3 linked regions of the Neurospora crassa OR74A genome follow. The protein of the gene in region 2 interacts with the protein of the main gene of each other region in a pairwise test. Links are inferred from orthologs where the notes say so. Each region holds a gene or a part of one and is shown on either strand. Other genes may lie near its edges.

The links. The genes of interacting proteins can lie anywhere in the genome.
Region 1: the proteins of NCU06367 (region 2) and NCU05276 interact in binary tests that used the Saccharomyces cerevisiae proteins (3 or more experiments, as listed by UniProt). The link is inferred for Neurospora crassa OR74A from reciprocal best matches to the Saccharomyces cerevisiae genes YIP4 and YIP5.
Region 3: the proteins of NCU06367 (region 2) and NCU02733 interact in a two-hybrid assay, tested with the Saccharomyces cerevisiae proteins (2 studies listed by BioGRID). The link is inferred for Neurospora crassa OR74A from reciprocal best matches to the Saccharomyces cerevisiae genes YIP4 and TVP23.

Annotation. Positions count from the first base shown.
Region 1 is NC_026504.1:5,492,065-5,502,129, forward strand, and holds NCU05276 (Yip1 domain family), read right to left. Parts: upstream 5,681-10,065; 5' UTR 5,417-5,680; coding exon 5,372-5,416; intron 5,275-5,371; coding exon 4,818-5,274; intron 4,722-4,817; coding exon 4,279-4,721; 3' UTR 4,049-4,278; downstream 1-4,048. Other genes in the region: NCU05277 (hypothetical protein), read left to right, coding at 3,248-3,553, 3,687-3,794; NCU05275 (ubiquitin-60S ribosomal protein L40 fusion protein), read right to left, coding at 6,120-6,206, 6,273-6,383, 6,556-6,736, 6,828-6,834, 6,904-6,904; NCU16890 (hypothetical protein), read right to left, coding at 7,261-7,631, 7,715-8,128, 8,190-8,400, 8,467-9,084, 9,164-9,280. UniProt on the Saccharomyces cerevisiae protein: Possible role in vesicle-mediated transport. May be involved in proper membrane localization of Rab GTPases.
Region 2 is NC_026504.1:2,760,646-2,770,809, reverse strand, and holds NCU06367 (Yip1 domain-containing protein), read left to right. Parts: upstream 1-5,384; 5' UTR 5,385-5,699; coding exon 5,700-5,778; intron 5,779-5,902; coding exon 5,903-6,512; intron 6,513-6,657; coding exon 6,658-6,907; 3' UTR 6,908-7,252; downstream 7,253-10,164. Other genes in the region: NCU06365 (DEAD/DEAH box helicase), read left to right, coding at 1-1,442; NCU06366 (Ca2+/H+ antiporter), read left to right, coding at 3,215-3,720, 3,791-4,018, 4,093-4,873; NCU06368 (hypothetical protein), read right to left, coding at 7,364-8,194; NCU06369 (oxidoreductase), read left to right, coding at 8,777-10,039. UniProt on the Saccharomyces cerevisiae protein: May be involved in proper membrane localization of Rab GTPases.
Region 3 is NC_026501.1:3,356,866-3,366,709, reverse strand, and holds NCU02733 (golgi apparatus membrane protein tvp-23), read left to right. Parts: upstream 1-4,243; 5' UTR 4,244-4,404; coding exon 4,405-4,495; intron 4,496-4,696; coding exon 4,697-4,742; exon of another isoform or gene 4,743-4,924; coding exon 4,925-5,208; intron 5,209-5,344; coding exon 5,345-5,499; 3' UTR 5,500-5,796; downstream 5,797-9,844. Other genes in the region: NCU02735 (hypothetical protein), read left to right, coding at 1-142, 298-422, 709-774, 882-1,310, 1,373-1,507; NCU02734 (citrate lyase beta subunit), read right to left, coding at 2,449-2,705, 2,799-3,461, 3,531-3,570; NCU02732 (hypothetical protein), read right to left, coding at 6,145-7,367, 7,479-7,860. UniProt on the Saccharomyces cerevisiae protein: Golgi membrane protein involved in vesicular trafficking.

The sequences.
Region 1 (10,065 bases), about 2.7 Mb from region 2:
CTCCATCCAATGGCACATCTGTGCCCTATCAGGCTTAGCCCAGCTTGTCTGCCTAGTGTTCGCTTTGGCACTACCCCTGGCTGGGGTCCGTGCTCCTTTCGTATTCGCATTCTCCCGCCCGTCTCGGTAAGCCAATCAATGGCTTCATCGAATTGTGGGAATTTCTGACTTGTGTGATCTTTTGAATGACGATGATTTGTGGTCCAGATCTTTCATATGTCATGTGTCCCGTACTGATCTGCTTGTCATTTCGAGCCGAAGGGCTGGTTCGAGCTTCCACTTCGTACGACAATGGAAGCTCTTCTTGTTGACCTGCATCAGGCAGTCCCCATCTCAGGGGTCAACTCATCCACAACGGTGGAAGCTGGAGTGATCTCCAGAGGCATTGGCTCCAGCGTCAGTAATTCACCGAAACCATCCAGCATCCTACAGACGTTGGGGTCCTCCACCAAACTTTCGGTCCGGTCCCTCGCGGATATTACAGAATCGCCTTTCACAATGATGCTGTCGACAATGGCAATATCGGTCGAACCACTCGTCGCGTCGCGTCGCGAAGTGCCTTCTTCAGTGCCGCAAGTAAGGCCGCTCCGCCCCTGACCCCTTCACAAGGTTGCTTGGTATTCTAGAAGGCTTCTAGCGAGGTCCACTGCCGTCAGGGTTCGTCGTCCGAGAGGTGTACGTAGTGTAAACGTCGCTCTGGAGATCCCGAGATCCTTCCCAGACAACTCAGTTAGAAGAAAGCGGTCAATGACCAACACTGTCTGACCATTTTCATGGGATGCGAAAACATATCATTGAACCTATGGTGACGAGCCATGATTTTGTTGTTGATGAGCGAAGTCGACTTGGAAGCGGAGTGGGGGTCAAAGACCTTTGAAAAACATTGTCGTGATAGCCCGGTAAAGAGGACAACATCAGACGAATCCAATTCCAGAAACTTTAGGAGAACCCGTCCCTTTTCGGCCAGCTCGATCGAGTCTGACTTGCATGTACTTACTGTAGCTCATTGTCCGTTGACTCATCCGTCGTCCACACCGGCGTCCTTGTGTGGCTTGGAGCATGATACACCACCGCATAAGTCCGAGTCCAACCATCACCACATCCATCTGGAATGGCACCCAATCGCATCACCGCCGCAAGCTTCTCTCCCGGGCCAAAGAGTGAAACGGCGCATTCTGTGACTCTTCTGGCTGAGCTTTTCACAAAAGCCTCTATGCAAGATCCACGCAGGATGGCATATGAACCTCACAAACGAACTCTTGAACTGCACGTTACACTCATAGATGGCGTAAGCTACAATAGTCACTGACAGAAAGCCACGAACGAACTTTTGGAGCCTACGTACGCTATGATGCCACAAGTGACAGGTAGTGTAGAAACTGACAGCGGATACGTAGCCCGAAAAGAACTTTTTTGCTTTCGGTGTGTGTGTGTGTGTCACAACGGTAAGAGAGCCCATTGGTTAGAAGACTCTCTGTTGAATCCCAGTTGGGAATAGTCTCATCCCTCTTATGGACGCCGGGATTCGTAACCTCCAAAGCTGCTTACACTACTGGTGTATTCCTAGAACCATCATCCATCCCTTCCACACCCAACGTACGTCAGCCCTGAAATGATAAACATGTGAAGTCTAAGGCTGAACTACCCTACGTACATCACCATCATCACCATCATGCGTGGACCTTCACCCCGAGCTTTGTGACCAACGTACGTACGTATTAATAAGATTTCCAATGGACGGGTAACTAGACTAAGCTTTTCGACCCTTGTGTATGTATATCCCCGCCCCGCTGCTTATCACGGTTGGCCGCGTACGTCGAACGACCCAAACAACACCAAAACTCCCCGATCCAACATCCCCAAAGCGAAACGACAAAACAAAAAGCGGTATGACGACGGCAGTGCTTCCCAATACAACCCGAAAATTCTGGTAGCCTACTTACTTACGTTGCTTAACTTAACTGACAACTATTACTGCGTAAACAAACGTAATCCATCAACGTAGCCTGCTAGGTAGTCTTCGTACCTACCTGCCGCTGTCAGCACGGCTAGAGGTAGGTAAGCTTTTTCGTTCGGCAATCCACTGCCGACCAAGTCTTTCTTTTCCCAAACTTACCTACTGCGTACACACGCGGCTACTTTTTGTGCCTTTGTGTAACGACACATATATATATATATATATTTTTTTTTTTTTTCTCCTTGGGTGGCGTTTCGAAAAAAAATGTAACTTTCCCCCCCCTAGAAAAAGGTTCCCAATTGCACATGCACATGATGAATCATAGTGAATTATAATGGATGGCGCAGCCACACACGACTAGACTACCTAGTTAGCCTTACTTTGATAGTATACTTGGTAGACGTTATTGAGTTACGCTGAGCATTTGGCTGTCATTTTCAATATGCATAGGTACCTAGCCATTGACAAATACTCGACTAGAAAAAATTTGGTTTCGGTGCTGTGACTCATTACTAAGGCATGATGGCCTTTGCTTTGCTTCACTTTTCATTGTTTTTGGTAGTAGTAGTAATTGGGCTGAGTTGTTTGACAGGGTTTCCCACGTGGTTTACATATGCAAGAGCATGGGTGGGTTCTTACTATTCCATCTGTTGTTGTCGTGGTTGTAGGGACAAGGAATGCGTAGCCTAATGCCCTTGATTTTTCTTCTTCTTTGGTTACTGTGGAGATGAGGGTAGGAGGTAGTACACGTATGTGTATACGCACACCTGGTAAGCACTTACATCAAGGGATGGATGGATACTGAGATACGTTGATACCGATGGTAGATGGGGGAGAAAGGCGGAGTGGCTTTGCTTTGTTCGACGAAATCGGCCTTACCCTTCTCACCTCACCGAAATTAGTGTAGGTACCTATTGTTGTGGTTCAGATGGGTAAGGGGAGATGAGGAGGAGGAGGAGGAGGAGGAGGAGGAGGAGGAAGAAAGCAGAGTTATCAGAGATGTATAAGAGGAGTTGATGGCCTCGCTTTTCAGGATGTTGTGTTTTTGTTCATCATCAACATCAACAGCTTCAGACTTCGTTCAGATCTCAAGTACTACCTACCTACCTAGGTACCTTCCTCGAGAACACAAGAACCACACCACACCACCAACCAACCAACTTGAAGCTTCACTTACACGGACAACTTGAACACCACCAACACCATCTAAAGACATCCTCATCAAGACTCTTCGACCAACCATCACCACCACCACCACCCAAAGACCAACAGACACCAAAAAACAAAATCATGTCCGCCTCAACAAACTTTAACTTCCCCTCCCACCCCACCTCCCGCTCTCACGCCCTCCAAATCGTCCAAGGCACTCGCGCCCTGGAACAATCTCCACCTCTCGCCTCTTCCCACCAGTCTTCCTCAAAGTCCTCACCCAAGAAGAAGAACCACCACTACGCCGAATCCACCACCTCAACATCCAGTTTCTCCAGCCGAACCAGTCTCCTCAAGGACAAATTCCACTCCACTTTTGGATCTTCTTCTTCTTCGTCACCGTCTTCGTCTTCAGACAGCAGCAAGAGCAAGAGCAACAGCAAGTCCGTGAGTAGTAGTCCCATGAACAGCACCAGACAACAAGGGCTGTTCCTACTTGGTTCATCAATAAGGATGGGGCACTGATTCTTTTTTTCAATGTGGGGGGTTGTTGTGGGTGGTAGTATTAGGAAGACTTGAGATGATTTCGAGACGAGCAGCGGCATGGGGAAGTGGCAAGCGGTTTGGCTTGATTACCCTATGGGCAGGTCAGATCGTTCAAAGTATCGATAGCGAGTATGGACAATGAAAGGGGTCCCTCCCTCCCCGGCACGAGGGGTGGTGGGGCGGCACGAGGGATGGGATAAAAAAGGATGATGGGTACGCATAAGGGCATGGTCAGGAAAACGGAAAAAAGAAGGGGAGTAGTTAAGAGGAGGCGTTTCTTATGTCTACCTCTACCACCTGGGAACTGGATGGATGGAACGTATTGTAGTGTACCTGTTATACCCGGGATAGAAAGAGGAGGACAGCGTACCAAAGAAAGGGCAGCAAATGGGTGAAATAAACTGCCAGCGCAATTCAATTCAGCAGAAGTCATAGGTTGAATTGAAAATCCGATTGAACTTGAACTTATCAATCCCAGAAACCAATCGCGGCAAACGCCTCCCCCATAACCTTTTGTTGACGGATGAAGATAGTAAAACATCAAATATCAGATACAAGGCCACACAGCTCCAAACGTACCTCTCTTCCTATTAAGCCTATCTCCTTCATATCCTAACCTCCTGCCCCTAGAACATCATCATCATCGTAGCCGGATCAGCAGGCTTCGCATCCCCACCACCCGGGGCAGCTCCCTTCGGACCATCCTTCAACGCCGGGCTTCCATGCGCAAAGAAGAGCACCTTGATGGCCAGGGCCAAACCAAAGTGCAGCGCCACCACGACAAACAGCAGCACCTTGCTCGTCTGGCGATCCGTCGCGCTGAGCACCGGATACAGGTTCCTGAGCAAAAAGGCCACCGACACGCCGAACCCCACGCCCACAAACACCCAGTTGAGGATGGTAATCGGCGACCAGCTGATCAGCGCCACAGGGATCCAGATGAGGTTGGAGTAACCGTACAAAGCCCAGCACTCGAGCAGGTTGGCGGATTCCGAACCAAAGTATCGCAGGGCAAGGTACAAAGCGACCGGCAGGACAAAGGTGTAGCCGTAGATGAGACCAGCGGCGCCTGTTGTTGTTTTTTTTGATCACATATCAGCCCCCAATTTTACTAAAATCAATCACCCATTCACCCAAAGGGAAAAAGAAAAAACAAAAAACTTACCGCTCAACAACCGAAAATCATACGCAAACGCCTCCTTCCCCGTCTGCGCCAAATAATCACTAATCGTCCCGCCCAAGAACAAAATCAGCACCACCGTCGTCGCGATCCAAAACGGCCCGTACAGGTCCGGATTTCCCTCCAACACATCCAAAAAGTTGGCTCGCGGGTACAGGGCCGCCCAACACCGCTGCAGCACGCTGGACGTGTCCACGTCAAAGAACTGCGCGTAAAAGGAGAGCGTCCAGAGGAAGCGCTTGCTGCTTCCTCCTCCCGAGTTGGAGGAGGTGCGGGCGGCGGTTACGGGAGCGGGAAGTAACCCGCCGCCGAGGGAGGAAGTGGAAGTGGTGTTGGTGTGTTGGGTGGATTTGGTGCCGTTGCGCCCGAGGGGGGAGGATTCGGAAAAGTTGGATTGGTGGAATTCGAGATCTTCTTGGAGGTCGGTGTGGCCTAGGTCGCCCTGGAGAGAGAAGGAGAAAAAAGGGTGGTTAGTTGGGTATGTAAAGATCAATGACTACCATGGGAGCGGATGGGAGGGGAGGAGAGGGCGAACTAACCTCGTCGTCGACGTCTACGACTGCATCGTAGCCTGATCTGGACATGGTGGCGGTTGTTTGCTGTCTGTTGGTCGGATGTGAGCTGTGATGACAAGTCTTTCGATGGTGATTTGGTTGGAGCTTGGGAACACGCCGATAGCTGTGAATCGCCTTGGAGTCAAATGGTATGATTAGTTTATGCTTAGTGTAAGTCGGTCTCTCGATAGGTAAGCTCCTCCAAAGCTACTTAGGTGGTCTGGTCCCTCCGGAAGCTGGTGGTGGACAGCTGTTTCAACGTGAGCCGCGTACACCAAAGGGTAGAGGTAGGTAGGTAGAGGTACGTACCGCTGTACACTTGCGTGCACGCCCCCTGTTGGGGTCCTGAAACCGCAGCAGTGCACCCCCCCTTAACGGATTCCCGGTCCCTGCAGTAACTCCCCGCAATATGTCACGTGGGTCCAAAGTGGCCATCAAGGTAGTTGAGCTGTTTCGAGCGACATTCATAATCAAGCTCAAATTATTCTACAAGATCACTGCTTTTGGTAGGAGAGCTTCAATGCCCTTTTGTGTATCCCCACGGGCAATGTCCGAGTTTATTCATGAGCTACGTAGAAGTCCTCGACTTGACGTTTTCAGCCGTAGCCATCCATTCCCAGGTCCCGTGTTTCCCTGTCCTGTTGTCCTTATGCCGTTGCCATAACCATACCCGTTTGCCCCCAAAAAGCCCAAATGCGCCAAACCCTGATGCTGGTACGTAACACTGAGCTGTCTATTTGAGCTTCTTCTTGGGGCGGAGCTGGTTGGTGTGTCCGCACTTGCGCTTACGGCAGTTGGTGGCACGGGGAGGCAGACGAGCCTAGAAACAAGTTAGACCTTGGTTCAACATTTGAGAAGGCGAAAAGATGATATAGAGTATACGTACGTAGCACTTGCGGCAAATCATCTTGTCGCAGTTGAACTTGGAGGCAAGCGCCTTGAGCGAGGGCTCGATGATACCACCGCGCAGACGGAGGACCAAGTGGAGGGTTGACTCCTATAGCAGAAATCCATGTTAGCAAGTCGACCATGACACCAATCAATTGAATCCCATTTCTGTTCCCATGGCCATCGCAAAAATGGAAGTTGACCACAGCAGTTGTCCTCCCATTCCCAACCCCTATAACATCTACGTCATAAGCGCGCTGTGGGGCCACCAGTCCACTGACCTTCTGGATGTTGTAGTCGGAGAGGGTGCGGCCATCCTCGAGCTGCTTGCCAGCAAAAATCAGGCGCTGCTGGTCGGGCGGGATACCCTCCTTGTCCTGAATCTTCTGCTTGACATTGTCAATCGTGTCGGAGGACTCAACCTCGAGCGTGATGGTCTTGCCCGTGAGGGTCTTGACGAAGCTATACACCAGGGGTACAACGTCCCGTTTGTTAGTGACCTGACTCAACTCCGCTTGATTGCTTCGTGCTGCGGAACGTCGTGAAAACTCACATTTGCACTGCGGTTCAGGTCAGATTAGCATCTCGACGAATTGAGGATTTGGTCTAAAGCAGTGTAATTAACTTACTCTTGACCGGTTATTCCTAGGTGTGGTCAGTTGGAGGTGCAGTGGTGAAGGAGGGAGTGATGTGATGATGTCGGGGAACAGCAACAGGACGAAGCTATGATGGTGGGGTTATGGGAACGGCCGCTCTGGGCAAAGTGGTGCGTGCACATGTCACAGTGTTCATCAGCTTCATATCTGCACTGTACCTCCATCTTCAACACCAGAAGGTCGCCTCCACCAACGATTGCTAAGTAGTTTCCTCAACCGCACCCGATTTGTGCTCTTCTTCTAATGCTCAATATGGATATCTTCTGTCACAGTATCGGTCTCATACTGGTTTGATCCCGAGAAACAGCTCAGGCAAGTATTCAAAGCAAGTCATACCTCCCCCAACCTCATCTTCCTCTTCTCCCTCTTCTCCCAACCATACAACAGTTCCTCCAGACTATAAACCGCCTTCACCAAAGCCTTCAGTGACAGCCCCGAGATCTCCGCTGCTTTCTCATGGAACCTTCTCGCAGGTCCAGATTCTCCAAGTTGCTCAACCGACCTAAACCGCTGATGAAGTGCACCCAGCCTCTTGATATTCTTCCCATCATTAGTCTCAGGCCTCGGTTCAACCAGCGTCATCGACTTTTGCACTCGATGCATCCGAGCAATGAGCTGCTCATCGGTCATGTCTTTGCTGCCGGGTTCCGGTAATCGCAGGACGTTCTCGAGAGGGAAGAGACGTTCGATTTCGGTTTCGTCTGTTTTCAAGTGTCTGTCAGTAAATCGTTTGCATTCTGACGGACACCCTGAGAGGGAAAGGAGGAGAAGGAGAAAGACATACCAGCAGCGCTCCATGATTTCAGCTGCGTCTCCTGATACCAATCCAAATACTCCACCATCTGCTCCTTACTCAAAGTCCAAACCTTCTCCGCATCCATGGTCGCAAAGTCGAGCCTCCTCAGCGGCTTCTCGGGCGGATCTGCGAACTCAGCCTCCCAAGCATCCCAGTCCATCTTCAACGTTAATGGGTCGTTGTTGTCTCGTGGATACCGCTTGACGCCGTCCATGGGGTACATGTACTTGGTTGCTAGCACTAGAGAGGCGACTAGTAGCACGTCTGGGATGTCGAGGAGGGTGTAGCGAGAGGTCTTGCCGGTGAAGGAAGACGCGTCGTCTTTAATGTTTTGGCGCGTTGGGAAGGTCCAGGAGAGGTTGAGCATGAGGCAAATTTGTCGGGCGTGGAGGTGTACCTCGGCTGGTATGATGATGATGATTAGAGTGTGTGACTTTAGAGGAAGAGGGGCGGCAGAACTTACGTGGTAGAGCCAGATCTTTGAGGTATAAGATGAGGAGTGACGGTGCTGGGAGTGGTGGTGATACCATGCCATAGTTCTTCTTAAAACCTAGGGTCAAGGTCAACAACGACTTGTGAAGCTCGCTTCCGTCAAACTTTGCCCATCGTGTTAATAGCGTGCGCTGAGCCCAGCCAGGTAAACGTTCTCGTAGTTCGTTCGGCACCAGTTCAAGCTGAGTAGCAAGAAGAATGTCAGTAAGCGAACCTTCTTGTGAGTACAAAACTACACACCAACTTACCGCACCAAGAAACGGCAACTGGTTGTTCTTCGCCCACCGATAAATATCCCCTACCCTCACCGGCTCCTGCTTGAGCAGACACCCCATATAAATCAGCGCCAGCACTTCCATCGGGCCAGGCAGATCCCACAGCTCGCTCTCCCAATCCTTCACCCTGCTTGACCTCCTCCTCTGGCTCTTCACACTCTCATCAGCCGACGTATCCGTCGTTTCCGCCTGCGAGCTGTACATGACCATCTCGCTATCGGAACCCGACTGAGAGAGCGCACCACCACCACCGCCACCATATTGCGACCCCGTTCCATCGTGATCAATCCCCTTTCCTTTCGCCTGGAGTGATGATGCCCTGGAAACGCTTTTGAGACCAATGAACTTGCGGATGCGTAGGTCCCAGAGATCGCGGCAGATAGACTCGAGCTCGTCCGAGAACCCTTTTTCGCGGATCAGCCAGAGGATTTGTTTGCGCAAGATGATCTGCAAGCAGTCGAGGTAGAGTTCCTTGGCGTCGTTGCCTGAGAGATGTTTGCGCTCGGTTTCGCGCACTTCTTTTTCTTTGCGCACTACCTTACCGGTTTTACCGTAGTTGTCGTCTTCGTCGACGTCGAATTGGATGTACCCCTGGAGATATATGTATGGGATTAGCGACTGGATATGGGAGTCAATTTGCATTTGATTGTTTTGAAGTGGTTGATCGTACCTCAACTTCATGACCGCGCTGACAATATCTTCGTCCATTCTCCGAGTAGTACTTTCGCGCACGGCATTCGGTACATCTCTGTCCGTTGGGAAACTTTCGCAGCCTTTGTTCATCCATACTCTGTAGCGCTTGGCTGCGTGCCTGCTTGTTAAGACTGTAACGTTGTTCCTCGCTATGTCCCGTCACTGATGACGCATGGTCGAGCGGGGTGAGTGAGTGAGTAATGAAAACGGACGCACGGGTTCGTGAGGGGAATGGTCAAATGATTGAGGGCTGCAAAGGTCTCCTGTGTGTAGAGTAAAGATGGGTATAATACAGCTGGAAAAAAAGGATAAAGTGACGATAGTTACACTTATGTTGAAAGCGTGTTGGGTAGAGATGCGACTCGCCGAAAGAATGAAAATTTCAAACCCAAGCTGAAAAAGCGCGAGCCGACTTTGCCTTTGACCTTCCTTCTGATGAAAGTCGCCAAAACTCGCCAAGATACAAAACGCCGCTTTGTCAACTACGAATCACTCCAAGTTGACCGACAGCAAACTGCTCTTCAGTCTGGTGTTTCGTTGTCTGCAGTCTGAAGTGAAGTCAGAGTGAGAAAGCATGGCTGGCCCAAGGGCATCGGACACATCGACCTCTAGATCGCTAGTGGAGGCATGATTGGTATACACAACAAAGACTATCTGGCAGTTCATTGATGCTTTTATGATATCCTATAGAATGACCCACACATCGACGGAGACTAGCATATGCTTAAATCGTGAAGGTCGATATGTACATGTCGACGTCAGTTGCGCCGCCAGTCATGCCTCGGTATCATTATCCCCACACGGCATGAACTTTGCTCATCCTATCGGAGACTAAACGAGACCAGAGAGGTACTCAGAACGGAGAAACCAACCTGGACC
Region 2 (10,164 bases):
CTCTTGAAATTGGCATTGACATCGGAAATCTAGATTGTGTCATAACTTGGGGGTTTCCGTACACAATAGCGAACCTCAGACAGCAGAGTGGAAGAGCTGGCCGGCGAAATAGAGACTCTCTGTCGATTCTTCTAGGAGACAGTTTCGCAACCGACCAGTATTACATGCAGAATCCGGATGAACTATTCACAAAACCGAACTGTGAGCTTAGTATAGATATGGATAACATGTTGGTCAAGGAGGGCCACATTCAATGCGCGGCACACGAAATGCCAATTCTACCGGCTAAGGATTCCAAATACTTTGGTGACGATCTAGCAACGGTTTGCGAAGAGCGGCTGCTCAAGGGTGATCGGGGCTTTTACCATTGTCATGATAAGTTTCGACCCAGGCCGTCACAGTTTGTATCCATACGCGATATCGAAGAAGACCATTTCGCCATCGTCGACGTCACGAACAACCGGAACGTTGTCCTAGAGGAGTTGGAGGCATCCCGAGCGACCTTCACCATCTACGACGGAGCCATATTCCTACACCAAGGTAACACCTACCTCGTACGGGACTTCAACCCCGACAATAAGATGGCGCGAGTCGAGAAGGTCAAGGTGGACTGGACCACTCAGCAGCGGGATTACACGGACATTGACCCGGTGGAGACAGAAGCCATCCGGCGCATCAAAGGATCGAAATCCCTCGCCTATCATGGGGTCATCAGAATCACCCAGGTTGTCTTTGGCTACTTCAAAGTCGACAAAAAGAATAGAATACTTGACGCCATCCAAGTTGACAACCCGCCCGTTATCCGCTACAGTAAGGGCACCTGGCTCGACGTTCCGAAATCTTCACTCGCAATCCTTACGTCGCGGCGCCTTCACGTTGGCGGAGCCATCCACGCCGCCCAGCACGCCATCATGAGCCTCATGCCCAACTTCGTCATGAGCATGCCGGGCGACGTGCGCACCGAGTGCAAGAACCACCTCAAAGAGTTTGCCAAGCGGGAGACGCAGCGGAAACGGCCGGCTCGCCTGACCTTCTACGACGCAAAGGGGGGCGCAGGCGGGTCGGGCATCAACATCAAGGCGTTCGAGTTTATCGACACCTTACTGAGGAAGGCGCTCGGTCGGGTGTTGGCATGTCAGTGCCGCGAGGGTTGCATCGAGTGCGTGTGCTCAGAGCTCTGCAAGGAGGCTAATTCGGTTATCAGCAAGGCGGGAGCTGAGGTGATACTCAAGAGCTTGTTGGATGAGGAGATTGATGTGGAGAGCTTGCCAATGGGGCCGGAGGAGATCAGTCCGGCGGGCGTGGAAACGGTGATTTTGGCGAAACCGGTGCCGCCGCGGAACAGGAAGACGGTCAAGATTATTGGGCTTGCGGGGGAGGAGATTGAGATTCAGGTCAATGATGAGCAGGATGATGGGGAAGAGGAGGTAGATGGTTCATGATTGACGATGTGATGAGAATACATTGAGTAGGTATGTAATGTAAACTGTATGCTTCAAGAAGTCGTCTTGTTTGGAATTCCCGGTTCAAGTATGTAACTATAGATCCCGGCTTACCCCAGAAATGTTTTCGTCTTCCCCATGGGGTCCTTGTTGCTTGTGTCCACCTTTCCCAAGCACAACGTTTCTCCAAACTCATGCAGGTGATGGTTAGTCCCCGGAATGAGGGCATCGCCATGAAGTAAGGCGACGCCTTCCTGGGACAGTCCCACGCCAAAACGTTGTACACTACGAAAACGAGAGAACAAGTTTTCAAGGAAGCTTGGCTGACGACCTTTGTGCAGCACAAAAAAAGCCACCCGCCATGGCACTGCCAAAGTCATATGTACATATATGGGACCCGCCTTGGCACATGATGACTGCTTTGACGTGTTTTGCACATTGAGTGGTTCCATCATTTGTTGTTGCTTTTGTGTTTGGATGGTGTTTACTCAGCGAATGCTACGGATATGGGCTGTGCAGCGATCAACCTCGTCTTAACAAGCTGGGGCCGAGGGCTCTACACTAGATTTAGTGTAGCGTCGGTACACTTGGTAAAGAGGATCCACCGCGATGTTTATTTAGCGGAGATCTGTGCACAACGACTGCCGCCGATTCTGCTGCCATGGTGTTTCTGCCTATTCATTAGCTTCCTCGTATCCGTCAAATATAGTGTGCAGTTACACATCACTGGCTTCGACACCTAGAGGTAAGCTTTTCGGCACTCGAAATCCATCTTCCGATTTGCCGAAGAACATCAACAAGAGAGAAGATGTCACACTTGAAGCTAGCGCATGGAAGGCTGGGCGAATGGGATTGCACTCGTCTGGATCCTCATCTGCAACTGGGTCTCCCAGCCCTCCAGTCCGAACTCCGTCCACCCCAAAAGCCCCAGTCAAACCCCCCAGTCTGGCCTGAAACCCGACGCCGACGAGCCTCGCTCGCCAAAGGGAAGCCAGCTGTGTCTGCACCAACGGATTCTTGGCGCTTGGCTGCCTCTAGGGGTCCACCTGGTGTAAGAAGAGCAGGGTGGCTCCTGCATCGAACCCCGAGCCTAGACCCATGATAAACGGTTTTCTAACAGCGACGGACCATGCGCAAATGGGGAGCATGAGCGTGGGTTGACTTCAGCTCTCTCTCTCTCTCTCTCTCTCTATTTTCTTCCCGTGGGGTTGTGAGCGTCATCTGGTCCAATTATCAGATATGTATGCTTCTTGTGAGTCCTGCGATCATTGAGTGAGACCGACGTGGATGCTCATAAATATCACGTCTTGATACTCTTCCTCCTCCTCATTCTTCGTCTTACAAACTTGCTACTGTCCTGTTGTCTCCAGCCATCTTCCTATCAAAGAGTTCCCGCCTGTCTCGCCTCGTACATAGTCGTACTTTTTCGTCTTACAAGCTTACTACTCCACCTGAACTTTGGTCGGGCTGTGATGCCTACCTACCTAAGCCAGTGCTGACCGCCTTCACCTAGTGGCTTGCCGATTGGGCTCTTTTTTCATCTCTCTTCCCCACCTCTGTTTACAAGTCGTCCTTGCTGAAATCCATTATTTTGTCGGTCTTGAATAAAGGACGCTGTATCTTGGGGGGTCACTGTTCGTCGAGACGAGCAACTGCAAACAAACATCTCTGGTACAGGAGGAGCGCTACTGGGAAGCCACCTACCTGTCTACAACTACAAATCTTCACCCATTTCACTCGCAACATATCTTACACAGCAACCAAAACACACCATGACATCGCCCTACCATGCAGCGGCGCGAGAAAAGCGCGCCGCCGAACGTATTTTGGACGAGAGAAACCCCAACTCTGGAAACGTCCCGCGCGGCTCCTCTTCCAGCCGAGGTCCTCAACAGCTTCCTCTCCACTCTGATCCCATCGGAACAGAAGGCCGCGGCCATGGTTCTCACCACCACCACCACCACCACCACCACCCACCGGCCCCAAAATCGTGGTTCCCTGTTCGCGCAGGCGGCGAAAGTGGCCGAAGCGGCATCCACCCATGGCATTTTTTTCGCATCGTGTTCCGCTCGTCCTCGCTGGCGTCTCGCATGGTCAACGTGCTATGGCCCGTGGTGCCCGCTGCCATCGCCCTCAGATACGCCGCCCCTCATCAGGATCTGGCTATATTCATATTGGCGTATATTGCTATGGTGCCTTGTGCGAACTTGGTTGGGTTTGCGGGACAGAATTTGGCCAAGAAGGTGCCGCATGTGTTTGGTGTGTTAGCCGAGACGACGTGAGTATTTTCTTCCTGCTTCCGCCTGGGACATGGTTATGTAACGCTGCTAACTGGCTACGGTCGACAGCTTCGGGTCGCTGGTCGAGATTATTCTGTTTATAGTCCTGATAAAACGGTATAGCCCTACCCAAGCAGTGGACTACACCCAGGTTATCAGGGCTGCGATCCTAGGTTCAATCCTTGCTACGATGCTGCTCTGCCTGGGCTTCTGTTTCGTTGCTGCTGGTTTCAAGCGCGAGGAGACGCACTTTAGCGAAATTGTCAGTGAAGCCGGTAGCGGGCTGTTGCTCACTGCGTAAGTTCCCACGTCCATCACACCAGAGCTCCGTGTCTACCAGGCGCAAGTACTCACTGTTTCTTCTGTCACAGTGGATTCGGCCTAGCCGTTCCTACAGCCTTCTATAACGCCCTTCATGGCCGCTTAGACACAAAAGAACTCGAGCGCAAAACCCTCGAAATTTCACGTAGCACCGCTGTCTTGCTCATCATCGCCTATCTCGTGTACGTCTTCTTCCAGATGCGCACCCACCACGGTATCTACGACGCTATCTTCGAGGCCGACGCCGAGCGTGATGACGACAAGCATAAGGAGCTTCAGAGTCATCGCCTCACTCTGATCGAGTCCATCATCGCCTTGGCCGTGGGCGTCGCCCTTGTTACGATCATTGCCATCATGCTCGTCGACAGAATCCACTTTCTAGTTGAGGAACGCGGCGTCTCCGATGCCTTTCTCGGTTTGATCATGATTCCACTTGTCGAAAAGGCCGCAGAGCACTTGACGGCCGTAGACGAAGCGTACGACAACCAGATGAATATCGCCCTATCGACGGTACTGGGCTCAACGCTACAGACGGCCCTTTTCAATGGCCCTCTCGTGGTGATTGTCGGCTGGGGAATGAACAAGCCCATGGGGTTTAACTTTGAGCTGTTCGACCTAGCTATGCTGATCCTCGCTATTTTGACAGTCGGAAACTTCTTGAGGGACCAGAAGACTAATTACCTGGAGGGTATGTTGTGTGTGATCGTGTATGTGGCCATCGGCGTGGCAGCAGCTCACTACCCGAACCCTCAGGAGCTCCATGAGGCATTCCCGACGGCGGGCACGTCTCCAGCTCCAGCAACGAGTGGGTCGGAGGGTGGTCATCATTAAGCCAATGGCTGCATGTCTGTTAGATTGTCGGGGAAGGAAAAGGGTGGACGAGTTTTACCATAGGATGCATGTTTCGAACCATGGTGGCTTACAAAGTCCAAACAGGGATATTGAAAAGAAGATGGAGGATAGGTACTTTCTGTTATTATCGTTTCAGCTACATTTAGACGCCGTGGAACAGGGGCGAGGAGTGTCTGGAATGTATCAATATACACGGCGAAGTGACGGTGAAAGTGTTGTAAAGCATACAATCCATTATCAGCTATCTTTTGCAGGGAAGCTTAGAGACAGGATGCAAATGAAAAAAAATGATATCAGGACTTTACAAGACATTGTGTTAGGAAGTCTGATGAAGGTGGAAGGCTTGGGTTGAATGATGTTTGCGCACTCATAAACCCTAACCCTGGGGTAATACCACAAGTAGAGCTCGGGCCACTTTGGAGCACTGCCCTGTAGCAGCGACAAACGTCAGCGCCTTGACCCGTGGGGGGAAGGGGTCGTCCGCCGTGCTGAACATGGGGACGTGGCCCGTCCAATCCAATCGGCCCCCCCCCCAAGAACATTGAAGCTTCTCTGACGGAGCTTTCCACACAACAGCTCCTACCTAGGCAGGCATACCACCACCATTAATCACGAACACCTCTGGCACTGTATCCCGCCCGGCTGGGAATAGGTTCTTGACATCCCAATCGACCGAACACTGACCGACTGAAAGGGGCCAACCTTGATTGCGTCCGATAATCCTGCCCACCCAAACAGGGAAGCTTACACCTTCTGCCACAAACGAACAACTCGCCTGGCCGCATTCACGCACGACGACTCAAAGATGGCCTCACTGGGTGGTAAAGACTACCACCATCAGCAACCAATGTTGGACGACGATGATCTGATAGATCCTGACGATGGTAAGCTCTACTGACTTCCTTGAGTTTCTCGCAATTACATCTCTGTCGTCCACGTAGACATACACCTTCCACCCCACTCGACAACAACGAGACAATTGCTAACACAGACATTTCCCAAACAAAGCCGACCTAAACGACTTCGACGACCCTCTTGCCCCCTCCTCCTCCCGCGCACCCTTAACCGGCACCATCGGCTCTTCGTCCTCCTCCACCGCCGCCGCCGGCGGCATCGGCTCGTCCTCTTCCGGAGGGAACACCCAATCAGCCTGGACCTCCCGCATTCCCGGCGAGGACCGTCGTGCGCCCAACAACACCATCGACGAGACGGTCTGGGAGACGCTCCGCCGTGATCTGCTCGCCGTGTGGTCCAAGATGCGCGAGGTGCTGTATCCGCGCTACCTCTTTGGCGGCACCATGCTCGAGTCCGAAGACGGCCTGCGGGGCGCCTACGCCAACATCCGGAACGCCGGCCTGTCGGGCGCCAGGGAGGAGTTGACGGGCTTGGCGAGCAGAGTGATGGACCCCGAGTCTCTGCTGCAGCAGGGGAATATGAGTCCTGGATTGAGGGACTGGGATCTTTGGGGCCCGTTGATCTTCTGTCTGTTGCTGAGTACTCTGCTGAGCTTCAGGAGCAGGGAGCAGCAGAGGGAGATTGTGTTTAGCGGTGTGTTTGCAATGGTGTGGATTGGTGAGGCGGTGGTGACGGCGCAGATCAAGTTGTTGGGTGGGAATATGTGAGTGGTTTTTTTTTTTTTTTTTTTTTTTTTTTTTTTTTTTTTTTTTTTCCCTCGTTTTCTTGTGGCTTGTTGTAGCCGACAAGCTACAGCATTGATGAGATGATAGTGTGGCCATGCTAACAGTTTTGGTTCCAACAAACAGCTCTTTCGCCCAAAGCGTTTGTATCATCGGATACACCCTTTTCCCTCTCGTCCTGGCTGCCATGCTCTCCGCTCTCTCGCTGTACTGGGTCGCCCGGATTCCGGTGTACCTGGTGCTTGTAGGCTGGTCCTTTGCGGCAGGCATAAGCATTCTCAGTGGAAGCGGCGTTGTTAAGAACCGCGTTGGGTTGGCGGTCTTCCCCCTTCTGATCTTCTATTTTGCTCTGGGGTGTCTGTGCTTCATTAGTTAATGGGTTTGTTTCAGAGGTTGTTCGCATTTAAGAGAGGGCTGTCAACACGTTCCACCTGGTAGCAAATATGCAAAGGGGACGATTAAGGAAAAAAAGTGACCAAGGAAGATTAATCTAGGGAGTCACTCGGCTGTATCACAGATCAAATAGGCAAGTTGACGTTGATGTTGGGAAACTGATTCCCGTCACATGGTTCCCGGTATGACATTGCCCTGGCTTTAGGTGAGCAAAGGTGCGTATTACCGTGCGCTGATCCTTTTGATTCGTTGTTCGTTGTGACATCTTTCGCCCTCTTCACCTTGGGGGTCAACATACGGATCCCCTTGTATAAAGTCAAGATTTTCTCTACATCTGCCGCTGATACCGACTATCGCGAAATTAGCTAACCACTTGGTTATATCACACTCAGTTAGATGGCCTATAAATCATATAGGCCCTCAACCACTTTGTTACCCTTTAGCCCCCCTTCCCCAAATACCTCTCCAGATCAGGTCCTCTCCCCCACAACTCCCTCTGTATCCTTTCCGCTTTCTTCTTCTCCACCTCGGCCATCTTCCGAACCTTTTTCGCGTCCAACAACTTTTCCTTCTTCTTTGGCAGCACTGGCAGCTGCCCATTCTTAGGCACCTCTACCCCAAGCCCCAAGTGATCATCTTTCTTCTTGCCCTTAATGGGGAACTGGATTCCCTGTGCCGCGGACCCGAGACCTTGGCGGGAGTCTGGGTCCCAGCCGTGGCTTGTAAGATGTTTGAGCCCCATCCGTGAACGGTCAAGCGCTGAGGGAGGGTGGGAATGTGGAAGGCGAGATTGGTGCGCAAAGGACTGTTCGTGGATAGCTTTGGATTCTGGATTAGGTGCGTAGGGGAGGCTACAGATCTGGCAGATTTCCTGTTGTGGTAATACTATTGGTGGCTGTTCTGTTGGCATTGTAGTGGTTTGGATTGTGTCTGAGGTAGTGGTGGTGGTGGTAAAGGTGGTGGTGGTGGTAATATCCGTCACTGTTGATTGATTTCCATTTTGTTTCTCGTTGTTTTTGTTTTTGTCCTTGTTGGCGAGAACCATGTCCAGGTAAAGACCAGCTACGTCAAGTTTTGGCTTGTTGGACTTGGTCGTTGTTGAACTGGTTGAATCTAGATCGCCATCGGAGGCGGGGACGAACTTTATCTGTTGTTTGTATAACCCGGTGCCAAAGGGGCGAAGGTGGTGGAGGGGGACGTCTTCTGCATCATCGTTGTCTGTAACCTTGACGGCTCGCCTGTCTGAGGAACCCATTGTTTGTGGGTACATGCGCAAAGCTTTGTCTTAGATGAGTCTGTGTCAACGTTTTGTAAATGACGGTGGAGGAGAGATGGACAAGCTGTGTTAATGGGTTCGTGAATTGATGTACTTGTAAAGGCTCAGTGGACCGTCAAGTGGTGAAGTTGTACGTAGTAGTAATTGATGGGGCAATCACGGGAGAACCTTGATGCCCGCGCTTGAGGCGTGGTTAGTGGGGCCTGATGCCTGCCGTCGATGCGGCTCTGTTTCGGTTCCTGGTCGTGGTCCCCGCCATGTTGGACCCACCCATTCCTCCATCCGGACTTCGGTCGGTTTTGGTGGACTAGGTCGCTAATTATAGCCCCTGAAACCTTGACGTAACCTTGTTTGAGCTGCTGTGGTTGGAGCCAAAACTTCTGGCCAGTTGGGCCTGTAGCCAATTGCGATAGCTCCTCCTTTCTCGAGCTTGTTGTCCTCTTTTATGAGCGTTCTTTGCTTCTGCACCAACAACAACAACAACAGCAACAAAAGCAACAACATCTCAGGATCCGCAGAATGACCTTGTAACATTACTGGAAGCACTAACGATCCCTTCGAAACCCATCCCGCATAATGCCAATTCCCTTCCTCGCCAGCGTCCTCATGGACGGGTGGCCATCATGGCTACCCGGGCCGTGGACTCTCACCAAGGCCGGCAGCGCTCTCGGAGCCATCGCGATCACAAAGATCTACGCCAGTGGCGCGACATGTACGGCTGAACGGAACATGCACGGTCGCGTTGTCATGATCACCGGCGGCACATCAGGAATCGGCGCCGCTACGGTCTACGAGCTTGCCAAGCGAGGCGCCCAAATCATCCTCCTCACACACCACGAACATAACGACGCCTTTCTCGTCGACTTCATTGATGACATGCGCGACCGCACCAACAACCAGCTTATTTACGCCGAACAAGTTGATCTACGTTCCCTGCACAGCGTCCGAAAATTTGCGACAAAATGGGTTGACAACGCTCCTCCCCGCCGCCTCGACACCATCATCCTCTGCGGATCGACCCTCACACCGCCCGGAAAGGCGAGGACTGAGACACCGGATGGAGTGGAGAGCACCTGGCAGGTTAACTTCCTCTCCAACTTCCATCTGCTGGGCATCCTCAGTCCCGCGATCCGCGCCCAGCCGTTCGACCGCGACGTGCGCATCATCATCCCGACATGCTCCGCCTACATCCGCTCGCCGTCGTTGGATAAAGCTTTGGATAAGAAGGACTGGTCCCCCGGCAAGGCATACGCGCGGAGTAAGATGGCCATGATGGTGTTTGGCAAGGCCTATCAGAAGCACCTGGACGCATACAAGAGGCCCGATGAGCTTCCGATGAATGCGCGCGTCTTTTTGGTGGATCCTGGATACTCGAGAACGCCTGGCATGCGCCGGTGGCTTACTAGAGGCACCGTATGGGGTCTCATTGTGTACCTTTTCCTTTACGTCTTTTCCTGGCTTTTCCTCAAGAGCGCAAGGATGGGCGCGCAGTCTATCTTGTGGGCGGTTATGGAAGGCAGTCTCGTGCGCGACAAGGGTGGAAAGGTAGTCAAGGAGTGCATGGTGGTCGACTGCGCACGGAAGGATGTGGACGACGAAGCCATTGCGAAAAAGCTGTGGGAATCAAGCGATAAGCTGATTGAGGAGAAGGAGAAGGATGCGGCTGCAAAGCGGGCAAGGGCAAAGAAACGAGAAATGGAGAAGGAGGAGGAGAAAAAGGAACGGGAACGTGTTGAGGAGATTGAAGCTTTAGTAAACACGATTAAGAAGGGGAAGCAGAAAGACAAGGAAAAGCCCAAGAGTGGGAAGAAGGCGAAAAATGGAGAGAAGACTGCCTAGAAGGAGGTCAAATAGACCAGTAACAGCATATAGATTTCACGTTCTCATAGTGTAGACTGAAGACTAGGTACCATCCAGTAATGTACGTACAAAATGCAGGCAGGCTGTGGAATTGAATCCCGATG
Region 3 (9,844 bases), on a different chromosome or scaffold from region 2:
AAGAACAGGAAAGAACCATTTGGTGAGACTGGTCATAGTTACGTCGTGAGCAGTTCGGCTTCAGAGGGTACAGAGGGCATAGATCGGGCACGGTTCTGGATCGTGCTCGCCGCTTTTCTCTGGACTTCTACTTGGGGGATAGGTATGTACACTAACACAGGCTTTTCCAACTCTTCTGTTTACCAACTACAGTAGGATTACAGTCGCCATATTTCATCATCACTCGAGCCTACGGGCGTCTTCTCTAATTGTGGTCAATCTGTGACTTATGGATTCCCGTAAATACCATTATCGAAGCAAATATCCATACGAATCAGGTCATCCATCGGATCATGACCATCATCGACATGAACGAAGAAGCAATGAATACCATCACACATCTGCCAGATTGCGTACCCGGGAAGCTCGGCACAATCACCAAGGTGCGTTCGAGGTGCCCGCTAGCCAGCCTGAGAAGGCGGATTATGTCCACACATGGCTGCAGCGATCACAAGCGAATCGTGCCTGTTCCCCAGAGCCGGTTCCGGGGGACAGACCTCGAAAGGTCTCGCCGCGCGCGCACATGGTCAAGCAGACTAGTCAAAAGAAGAAGAGAGCACGGTCAGAATCGCCCGAGCTAGTACACCCAAGAGAGACCCATAGCCCAAATGCTCTTCGGTTTGAAAAGAAATCCCGACACAACACGAGGCTTGACAAATACGAATACAGGCCAGAGGTAGATCGTCACAAGAGACGGACCCAGACTACAGAACATCGCCGGGAGGACAGTCACGGGTCTTTGGAGGATGTTAAAAGACATACCCGAAGTAAATATCAACATGCGGTGGGTAACTGTCACTAACGTCATTAATAGCAATTTGCTAATGTAGTTCAAATTACAGCAACGAATGAACGAGCATGCCCAACGAACCGACCACGGTACTGCCCGTCGCCAGAGCTCCAAAGCCAGGGAGGTCGAAACTATATCAAGACGCCCTGATCATAGATCAAGAGCGGTGGAGCCAGGACGAAGAAGCCGAAGACAGCAGGCGGAAGCTAAGGAAATGAAAGAGCTGTCTGCATTCTTTACGGGGAGAGCTGACGGTGAAAAAGCGGAAGCTGAGAAAATACACTACCGACCTCATCGAGAACAACGATACGACACTGCTACTGCTAGACATCCGGCTTCAGATATCCGCCAGCAACGAACACATGATTCACCCAGCCCTTCGCTTCTTCCAAGTAGAAGCACTGGCTCTACCAGACAGCCTTCGCCTGCTTCTCTCCGGCCAGACTCTCTTTTCTCTTCGCGTGGTGATGATTCAATACTTGTCCTACCAAATCGTCCGAGTAGCAGATCAACTACATATTTCACATGGTCAACAAGTGACAGGGATCCGGCGCCAGTGTCCAACGTTTCCATTTCAGAGAAACCCCGGAAGAGCATTCAAAGTTCTGCTCGGAAGCTTGTCCTGCAGGAGCGGGAAATAAAGGGCCCACATGTGGTTTCGGAGGATTTCAAGATTAGACCAGCTTCGAGAGCAAAGCGTCATCCACGGAAATCGATAGTGTACCAGGATGCTCAAGTCCAGACATCGTTTGATGCAGATCGGAATCAAAATCGCCAATACCCAAAAAATTCTATACCCCAGTATCAAGATTCCGCAGTCATGACAGCAGACGAAAACAGTAACCTCAAACAACGTGTCTCCATGCTGCCTGCAGAAGCATTGCCAACTATGGACAAGAGAACTGTATATGAGCAGCCCTCATCCAATACAACAGCAACAACGCTACTAGATGTACCACCGCAGCCACAGTTCCAACCTCAACCACAAGCCTGGGTTACCTCTAATGCCAGGGATAGACTCTTTTCTCAGCCGTTTGTAGCAGCGCGTAACTTGTTTGCCCAAGAAGGCTGGCAAACATATCAGGAGCCTTCTCCTAAGCAAGCATCCGGTCGCTATACGAAACTCGTTCCGCCTGAAAGAGTTCGGGCTGTAATGCCTTCTCACCAACCAACCTCTTTGCGCCCTGCAGTTGATCAAATTTCAAGGTCTATTTCATGTCCTCCAGCTCAGCTTTTGTATGCTCATACGCAGGATCCGCCTCGTGAAAGTATGGAAGATTACATCCGCAGAATCGAGCAAGAAGCTCTGCAGAGTTCCACCAACAACGAAGAAATGGATGGATCACAGCCCCATGGTCCAGACCTGACTGAAGGTATAGGGCGGCAGCAGCTCGGCCATGGTTTATATCCCGAAGGCAATGATACATTTCTTCGGGACACTGCGTGGTACAATCAGCATCAACTTCCAACAGACACAGCACATATCCAGGTACAGGATCCCGAATATTTCGACCTAGAGCATTACGGGCAGGGCATAGGGGGTCAAGATACCCGGTTACCGAGACTGTGGGAAGATCCTCGCGAGTTCTGAGATGTGACCTGATCCAGCAGAGAAGCCATCACTCCGGCTTTTGATCTTTCCACTTTGCTTTAATGTTTTCGATATCCATTCCACATTTTGCGGCTTTGGCGACTACCGCCCGAGCCTTTCCAACCACAGGAGCATCAATCATCTTTCCGTCCAAGGTCCAAGCACCTCGACCAGCTGCAGAGGCCTGAGCATCGGCAACGAGGATACGAACGTACCACTCAACCTCGGCCTCTGCTGGAGCAAACATTCGCTGAGTCACTTCGACCTGACTGGGGTGGATACACTCTGTTTGAATGCCAAGTATTAGTGAAGAGCACAGTTCCCATAAGAAAGGCACCGTCGGTACAAGGAATGGAAATTCAGGAATAGGTAACTCACGCTTTCCGTTGAAGCCCATCTCCTTGCCGTTTTGACACTCCTCCTCTAGCTGCTTTACCCCCTCTGGACCCTTGTATGAGGTACAAACAAGGTCAATGGAGCTAGGGAGATCGAATGCTCTGGCAGCAGTTACAATAGCACTTCTGGCGTACAAAAACTCGGCCAAACCTGGCGTTCGCGTAATAGACAGGTCCAACGCAAAATCCTCAGCAGCAAAGATCAGACCACTCAGATACGGTGACGCAGCACATATCGAGCGCAAATCCATGACTGCTCGGGCCGATTCAATCAAGGCAAGTAGCTTGAGAGGGCTTGCCGTGGGGTTAGAAGAATGTCGCTGTGGTGCAGCATGGCGAATGACATCTGTAACGAAGGACAGATCACTAGCACTGTTGACCTTTGGGATGACAATGGCGTCAAGGTTTGGGGCGCTTGCGAGAGTGGTCAGATCATCAAGCGCATAGGGCGTCGAGACAGCATTGATGCGTACAGCAAGCTCTCCAATGGAGGCCGGCTTGTCCGAAAGTGAGGACAGGTGGTCGCGCAATTGTGTGCGAGCGGTCTGCTTGTTTGCTGGAGTCACCGAGTCCTCAAGGTCATAGGTGATATTATCACTAGCCAAGGAGAGTGACTTGGTCATGAACTTCTGAGAAGACGCAGGAACTGGGTCATGCTGAGTTAGCAACTATTGCAGCCATATGACAGGAGGGTTATATCTTGGATAGACCGCACCATATAGGAGCGCCCGACGGAGGACGGAAGAGGTAGCCATGATGTTCAGTTTCAAGTCAACAGGTGGGCTCTGCGGTATGTCTGGATGTTGACGGGATGGAAACTATCTGGGCTCACAAGTATGACCGACCCAGCCACTCATCCACTGCATACACTGCTAACAAAGGCCCGAGAGCATCCTAAACCACTCAGTGACTACTGTCTGTAAATCGGGAAGAGGGGAGAAAGTCAACAGAAGGATGTTGCTGAGCTCAATGGGGAATCGAATGGCATGTGACGTAGCACCAGCGCGGAGCTGTAGCTTCGGGCCGCTGTCGGCTGGGGCGCTATGTCCACTAGATTTTACTGTCCTCCGACCTCCGTTCTCTGGCTCAATATGCATGGTAACTTTGTCCCCGGAGAACCTCATTTTTAAGCAACAATAGGATAAGAAACCGGGAAGCACGGGGATTGCTTTGACGCAAAAAGACATTGAGTTCCATATCGAAGTAAAGCCTGGTTATTTCAGTTCGTAGGGAGGCTTTGTACGGAAGACCAGCATGGTGTTCATGCCCAAGGGGAAACGTGGTTGTAGGTAACGATAGTGCATTAACAGCAATGCTGAGTTGTGTGGGGAAAAGGTACCTCCCAGGTCCTGCCAATTACCTGCAAAAACTGGGTATTTCGATACCTTGAAGTCCTCCCCACCGGATATTCAGCCGTTAATACACCCTAGCTTGTGTTCGAGACGGTCTGTCAGCGCGGAGCTTAGGTGTTCTGACCTGCGCAGTTGCGCATCGTGCAAACGGCTTGGCTTCACCTCTCTCCAACTTCACGACGACACCATTGTGACAAAGTACCTTCGAACCCGGTAACAGGTCACCTTCTGATCCTGATGATGGAAGCAACACCGACGCCCGGCTCTTTGAGCTGGCGCTTGAGCTCGCATCCTATTACGCTCCTGACATTCCTCGCTTTTCGATCATGTAGGTGCTCGCAGTCCCTCTTCCTAGCTCCCTTTGTCAGTGTCTCGAGGATTGGATGTAGCCCATTACGGCCATGATGGGGAGGAGAATGCATTCCGGCAGGATGATGGGTAGAAGGTCACGAAGAGAAGACGGGGGAGGATGGAGCACCCGATACCTGCTACCAAGACACGCTTGCTAAAACCCGATCGCGAACTACAGCCAGTCTCCTTGTCTACCTTTTTGGCCTCTTATTTACCGACAACCTGTAAGGCGACCCCGTCAGCCCCCTTAAACCACACCATATCAGATGCTCGACTTGCCCACTTGCTCGTCTATACAGTCGCAAGCGAACGCGAACCCGAGAGTGTTCCCAGCCTTCCACAGCTTTCATCCATCAGAAGAAATCAAGGGATTAGATTGCTAACCACCCCCCCAACCGACCGGCAGTGTCATGATCTTCATCATAACCATCCTTCTCCTCGCCGGCGACTTTTACTACCTCAAGAACATTGCTGGCCGCCGACTCGTGGGCCTGCGTTGGTGGAACGAGGTCGATCCTAACTCGGGCGACTCGCACTGGGTGTTTGAAAGCAGCGAGCCGGGGACCAAGATCATCAACGCGACCGACAGCCGCTTCTTTTGGCTGGCAATCTATGCGCAGCCGCTGCTGTGGGTTGTGCTGGCTATTGTGGCCTTGTTCAGTTTGAAGTTTATTTGGTTGCCTCTTGTTGGTATGTGCCCCTTTCCCCTCTATCCATCGTACTAGCGCTTGCCAGTTCCCTTGGCTTGCTTGTTGTGCTGCGTGGTTTTTGGGTTGTCAAAAAAGGCATTATATGCTAATCGGAGGTTAATGGGCGTGTTGTATAGCTATTGCGTTGGTTCTTACCATCACCAACTCGCTTGCCTTCTCCAGGTGCGACAAGTTCAGCCAGGCTTCCAACATTGCTGGAACCGCGTTCAGCTCGGGCAACATCGCTGGTAACATTGCGAGCAACATGGTTGGCAGGTTCTTCTCGAGGTAGAGAGCAAGCAGGACGAGATTCCCCGAGGTCAGGGAAAAAGTTGTGGCTTTGGATTAGTATCCGAAGGGACTGTTCTCGTCAGATATCGATAGAGAATTCAGCCCCGAAGATACTTGATGGCCATCTTAGGATTCTCATGTTTTCATGATGTGCATTATGGGTCGGGCTCGAAATTGGTGACAGTATAAGGAACTTTTGCACGACAAATTGCCGATGGTTACCTTCTAGATTCATTGCCAGCAAAAATAGTATCTGAGCAAGACAAGATGTGTGAATTTCAGGGTCCGTTATATGGTGTCCGGCTCAAGTACTAGTAGTCCATGATTTTCTTGTTTCATGCGGATCCTTCGGACATGACATAGGCCATGGCTCTGAGACCACCATTCGGTACGTTCACTCCGTTTCCTCGATGCATTCACATTCTCTGAATCGCTCCATAACTGTTCGCAGAATAAAACAGAAAATGGAAATAGAGTTGCTGATCAAAGATTTTTCGATTTATAACCATCAGATATTGTAGCATCGCCCCTACTGATACGGACATACGTAACTTCCCAAAGATCAACAATGAAAAAGGAAATACTCATATCATCACCCTCTTCCTTAACTACTTTGCTCGGTTATCTTCACTTTCCAAAGCATTCGTCATAGGTGCCTGGAGCCCCTCTGCCCTCCCGCGTGCTGTTCAATGGCCACATCAAGCTGTCGCTCTTCCTCCTCCAACCTCCTGATTTCCTCCTCTGTCATGCCTTCCTCGACCAAATGAGCATACGGCGTTGACAAGCTCCTACCCTGTTGCTGCTGCTGGCTGATCAGACTACCCCGGTTGCTATCAGTGCCTGCTCCCCCATGTGTGAACGATGGTGCGCCGCCACCGCCGCTGTGCAGAGTGGTAGGCGACCCTCCTCCTTCTCCCCCTCCGGACTGATGATCAGAGTACATGGTAAAAGACCTTCCAGACTGATGATCGTGCGGTGTCTGCTGCTGCTGCTGCTGCTGCTGCTGCATCATGTGGTAGGACGGGGCGTTCGAAGCCGGGCTGTCTCCATCTCCTTCTAGTCTCCCATCTGCTCCGGGAAGAACCACCTGAGGGGGAACGCCAGAATCAATGTTAGGAACAACGACACTACCGCTATTCCTGTTGGCACCGGCGTCACCCATTCGCACGAGGTTGTCAGAGTAAGGCGAGTGAGGCGCGCTCGTCACGTCGTGGATGACGCCCGCGTTGGCTTCCTTCTCGGCTATGAGCTCGTCACCGCCGTTCCGACCGCCGCCGCTGGCGAAGCCCCCGTAAGGCCCACCGCGACTGGTGCCGTCTCGAAGGGCGTTTTGCTTGTGGCGCCGCCGGAGGCAGAAAAAGACGATGCCGCTGATGAGAGCGAGGCCGAGGAGGCCGCAGGCTATGGCGATTCCAACGATGGCGCCAATGGAGATACCTTTCTTGCTCTTGAGGTTGGAAGGCTCTCCGGTGCCGCTGCTGACTAGGCCGCCGCCGTTGGTCGGGGTGGCCAAGGTTGCCCCTGGAGTGGGAGAAGGTGATTCGGTTGGCTTTCCGACTCCAGCTGACTGGCCGCCCCCATCGGAGTCGTCCCTGATCGGATGTTCTTCCGGAAAGACCGGGTCAGGGTTGTTGAGCAAAGGATTTAAACCATAACCCTCAAGTATGGTATGGTCTGGCGCAATGTTCCCGATTGTTGTGAAGAGCCGGCTGTAGCTCCTGCCCGTTTTGCCGCCGTTCTTCCAGACAACATCAAAGTACAGCAGCTTCAGCGGGGCTGGCTGGGCTGGCTGGGCTGAGGTATTGTTGAGGTTGAGGATAGTCCAGATATTGTCAATTGTCACCGAGCCTCCTGTAGCATTTGTCTCAACTGTTGGCTCGTTGCCTTCAGTTAGCACGAACGTTCCAGTCATCACGTCACGCCACGGCGAAGAGAGGTTAGGCTTTTAGACAATTTGTGATGCACTTCCTGTTGACTTACCGGTGAGGTTGATGGGATACGACGTAGATGTTGGCAAGGTGATGATATCGCCCTGAGGCGCCATACCTAAGGTTAGATCTGGCCAGCTCCCAATTTTCTGCGAGGTTTTTGCAAGGCTTTGAAGCGAGGCAGGCTCGACTATCGTAGTGTTGCTGTAAAGGTTGACGGTGTTGACAGTGGTACCGCTCGTGTTTGTGATATTCCATCTGAACGTAGTCGCCTCCCAGATTACGGCCGGCTTGCCTGGTATTTCTTTTGTCCCCTGGGTAAATCCGTCACTGTCGCTGAACATAACGATGTCCGTATGAGAATTAAGTGAGGCTGCGCAACCTGCCAATGGCAGACCGGCTAGCAGCCAGCTCCTTTGCGTGGCTATTCGCATGATGAATCGACTCCCGCTTTCCTAGGCCTCCCCCTGTATCCGGCCGTCGACTTCCGAAATGTGTCGTGTAGATTCTCACTTCCTCAAGCAAAATGCCTTGTAGTTCTAGATATACGCATCTCCTCTTATAATCGGCTTCGTTTTCGTTGGTGCCGGTTCGAATCCAGAGCAGATGTGCTGACACCGGTAAGGGACCAGCTGCTAAGAGTGTGCCAGATGAACAAAGGTGTGAGAAAATGGACAACCCAAATGGAACCGGGCACGATGAAATGCGAAGCGTGTGTAGGTAAGACGGCCAGGGTCTGTGGAGTAACAGAGCGAACGAGGCTCGGGAGTAAGCACCAATACCAACTCGGGATAGGAGCAACTATCCGTATGGAAGATTGGATGGATTAGACGCACAATACCCCCATCCGCAGACAGATGAAGGGTGGGACAGGCAGAGGGCGAGGAGTAAAGAAAAGGATCAGATAGGATGGGAGAGCGGGAACTCCTAAGCAAAAAGAAACACCAGGCCAGGCCACAAACGGGCGGGGGGGCCAAGGTCGGGGTGAGCTGGGTTGTTGCTTATGTAGAGCCTGTTGGTGCAGTGGCTTGGGTTGTATGTCAAGCACACTCTGACGCTCGCAAGGGAAGGGGGAAAGGAGAAAACAGAATGGTACAAAAAGGGTAGGATGGAAGGCCGCTCAGCTGAATCAATGGGACCAACAAGTGTCAGATCGGTTCACCCAAGGCCAGTCTGTTCTAGATACGAAAAGATTTCCAGAGATAATATTTCATGGGTACCATCTCCTCTGTCTTGTCTTCTCTTCCTCGGTCACTTTAAACCAGCGAGCTACCCATTCAGCTCGCTCTTATCTCCTTGTGCCACTTGCCTTCCATGTTTGTTTTAGCCTGCTTGTGAGAGGAGGACTCGATTCCCGGTACACTGCATCAGAACTCTTTGCGATGAGTGCCATACGTGTACCACCAGATAGACGATGACCTTTGGCCTTGCCAGGATGCCTTTTCCCCCCCCTTTCTTCATTCGCTCCTTTCTTTACCGTGTGGGCGCAGCAACAATCAGATTACCCCAGCAAGCATGTATGTTTTCTGAATTTTAATTTGAAATATATATATAAAATTTTTTTTCCCTTTTGGGCACTCTTTCGTGTCTTTCTCTACACTATCTTATCAAATAAACCAAAAAAAAAAATTTAAAAATAAAAAAAAATTGCAGAGTGTCACTTATATATCCATAACCAAGAAACGCTGTTTCCTGTGATCTACAACATCCCCTCCCCGTGACTTAGCTTGATTGGGAATTCACTGCGACTTAAGCCTTGGTGGGCTGAATATTGTTTATGTATACTCAAGGGGGGAGAAATGCATTGTAAGGTACTGTGTCAACGGTCTACGTGAACGGTTCTTAGTTTTAAGAAGATAGCCGACCCTTACATGTCCTGTCTGACAGAACCACCTCAAAAGTAATCTCGCACAAACGCCTGCTACCCTCTCGCTTCGTGGCAGCCGACACAGCAGAGAGGGGGGAAGAGGAACAGGCAAACTTTATCTGTGTCGTGTCTCCCCCGTGCATATCCACCCATAGAAAGCCAAAAAGAAGTCAAAAGAGTACTAACAACACCACCCACATTCCTCAATCAGGGGTCCAGTCCGTCCCCGCCTATCCAGCGCATCAACAGACAACGGACAATGGTCACCCAACACCCGATTTAGTATCCTTTCCCGCCGTTCAATTCGGCTGTGCCCCTCCATTCGCAAAGCGGGAACTCGCAAGTTGCAACCTTAACCTTAACCGCCACAGTAGACGCAGCAGCAGGACTGGCGCCAAGAGCGAAAGCGATTCGCTGTCCGATTCCATTCGACGGCATGTTCATGTTCTGGTGCCACAGCCGGAGCACCCAATAGACTATAAGACTGCGTGTCTGCATCTTAAAACTTATTACACTACTTTACTTTCTACAGCAGACGGACAGATTGACAA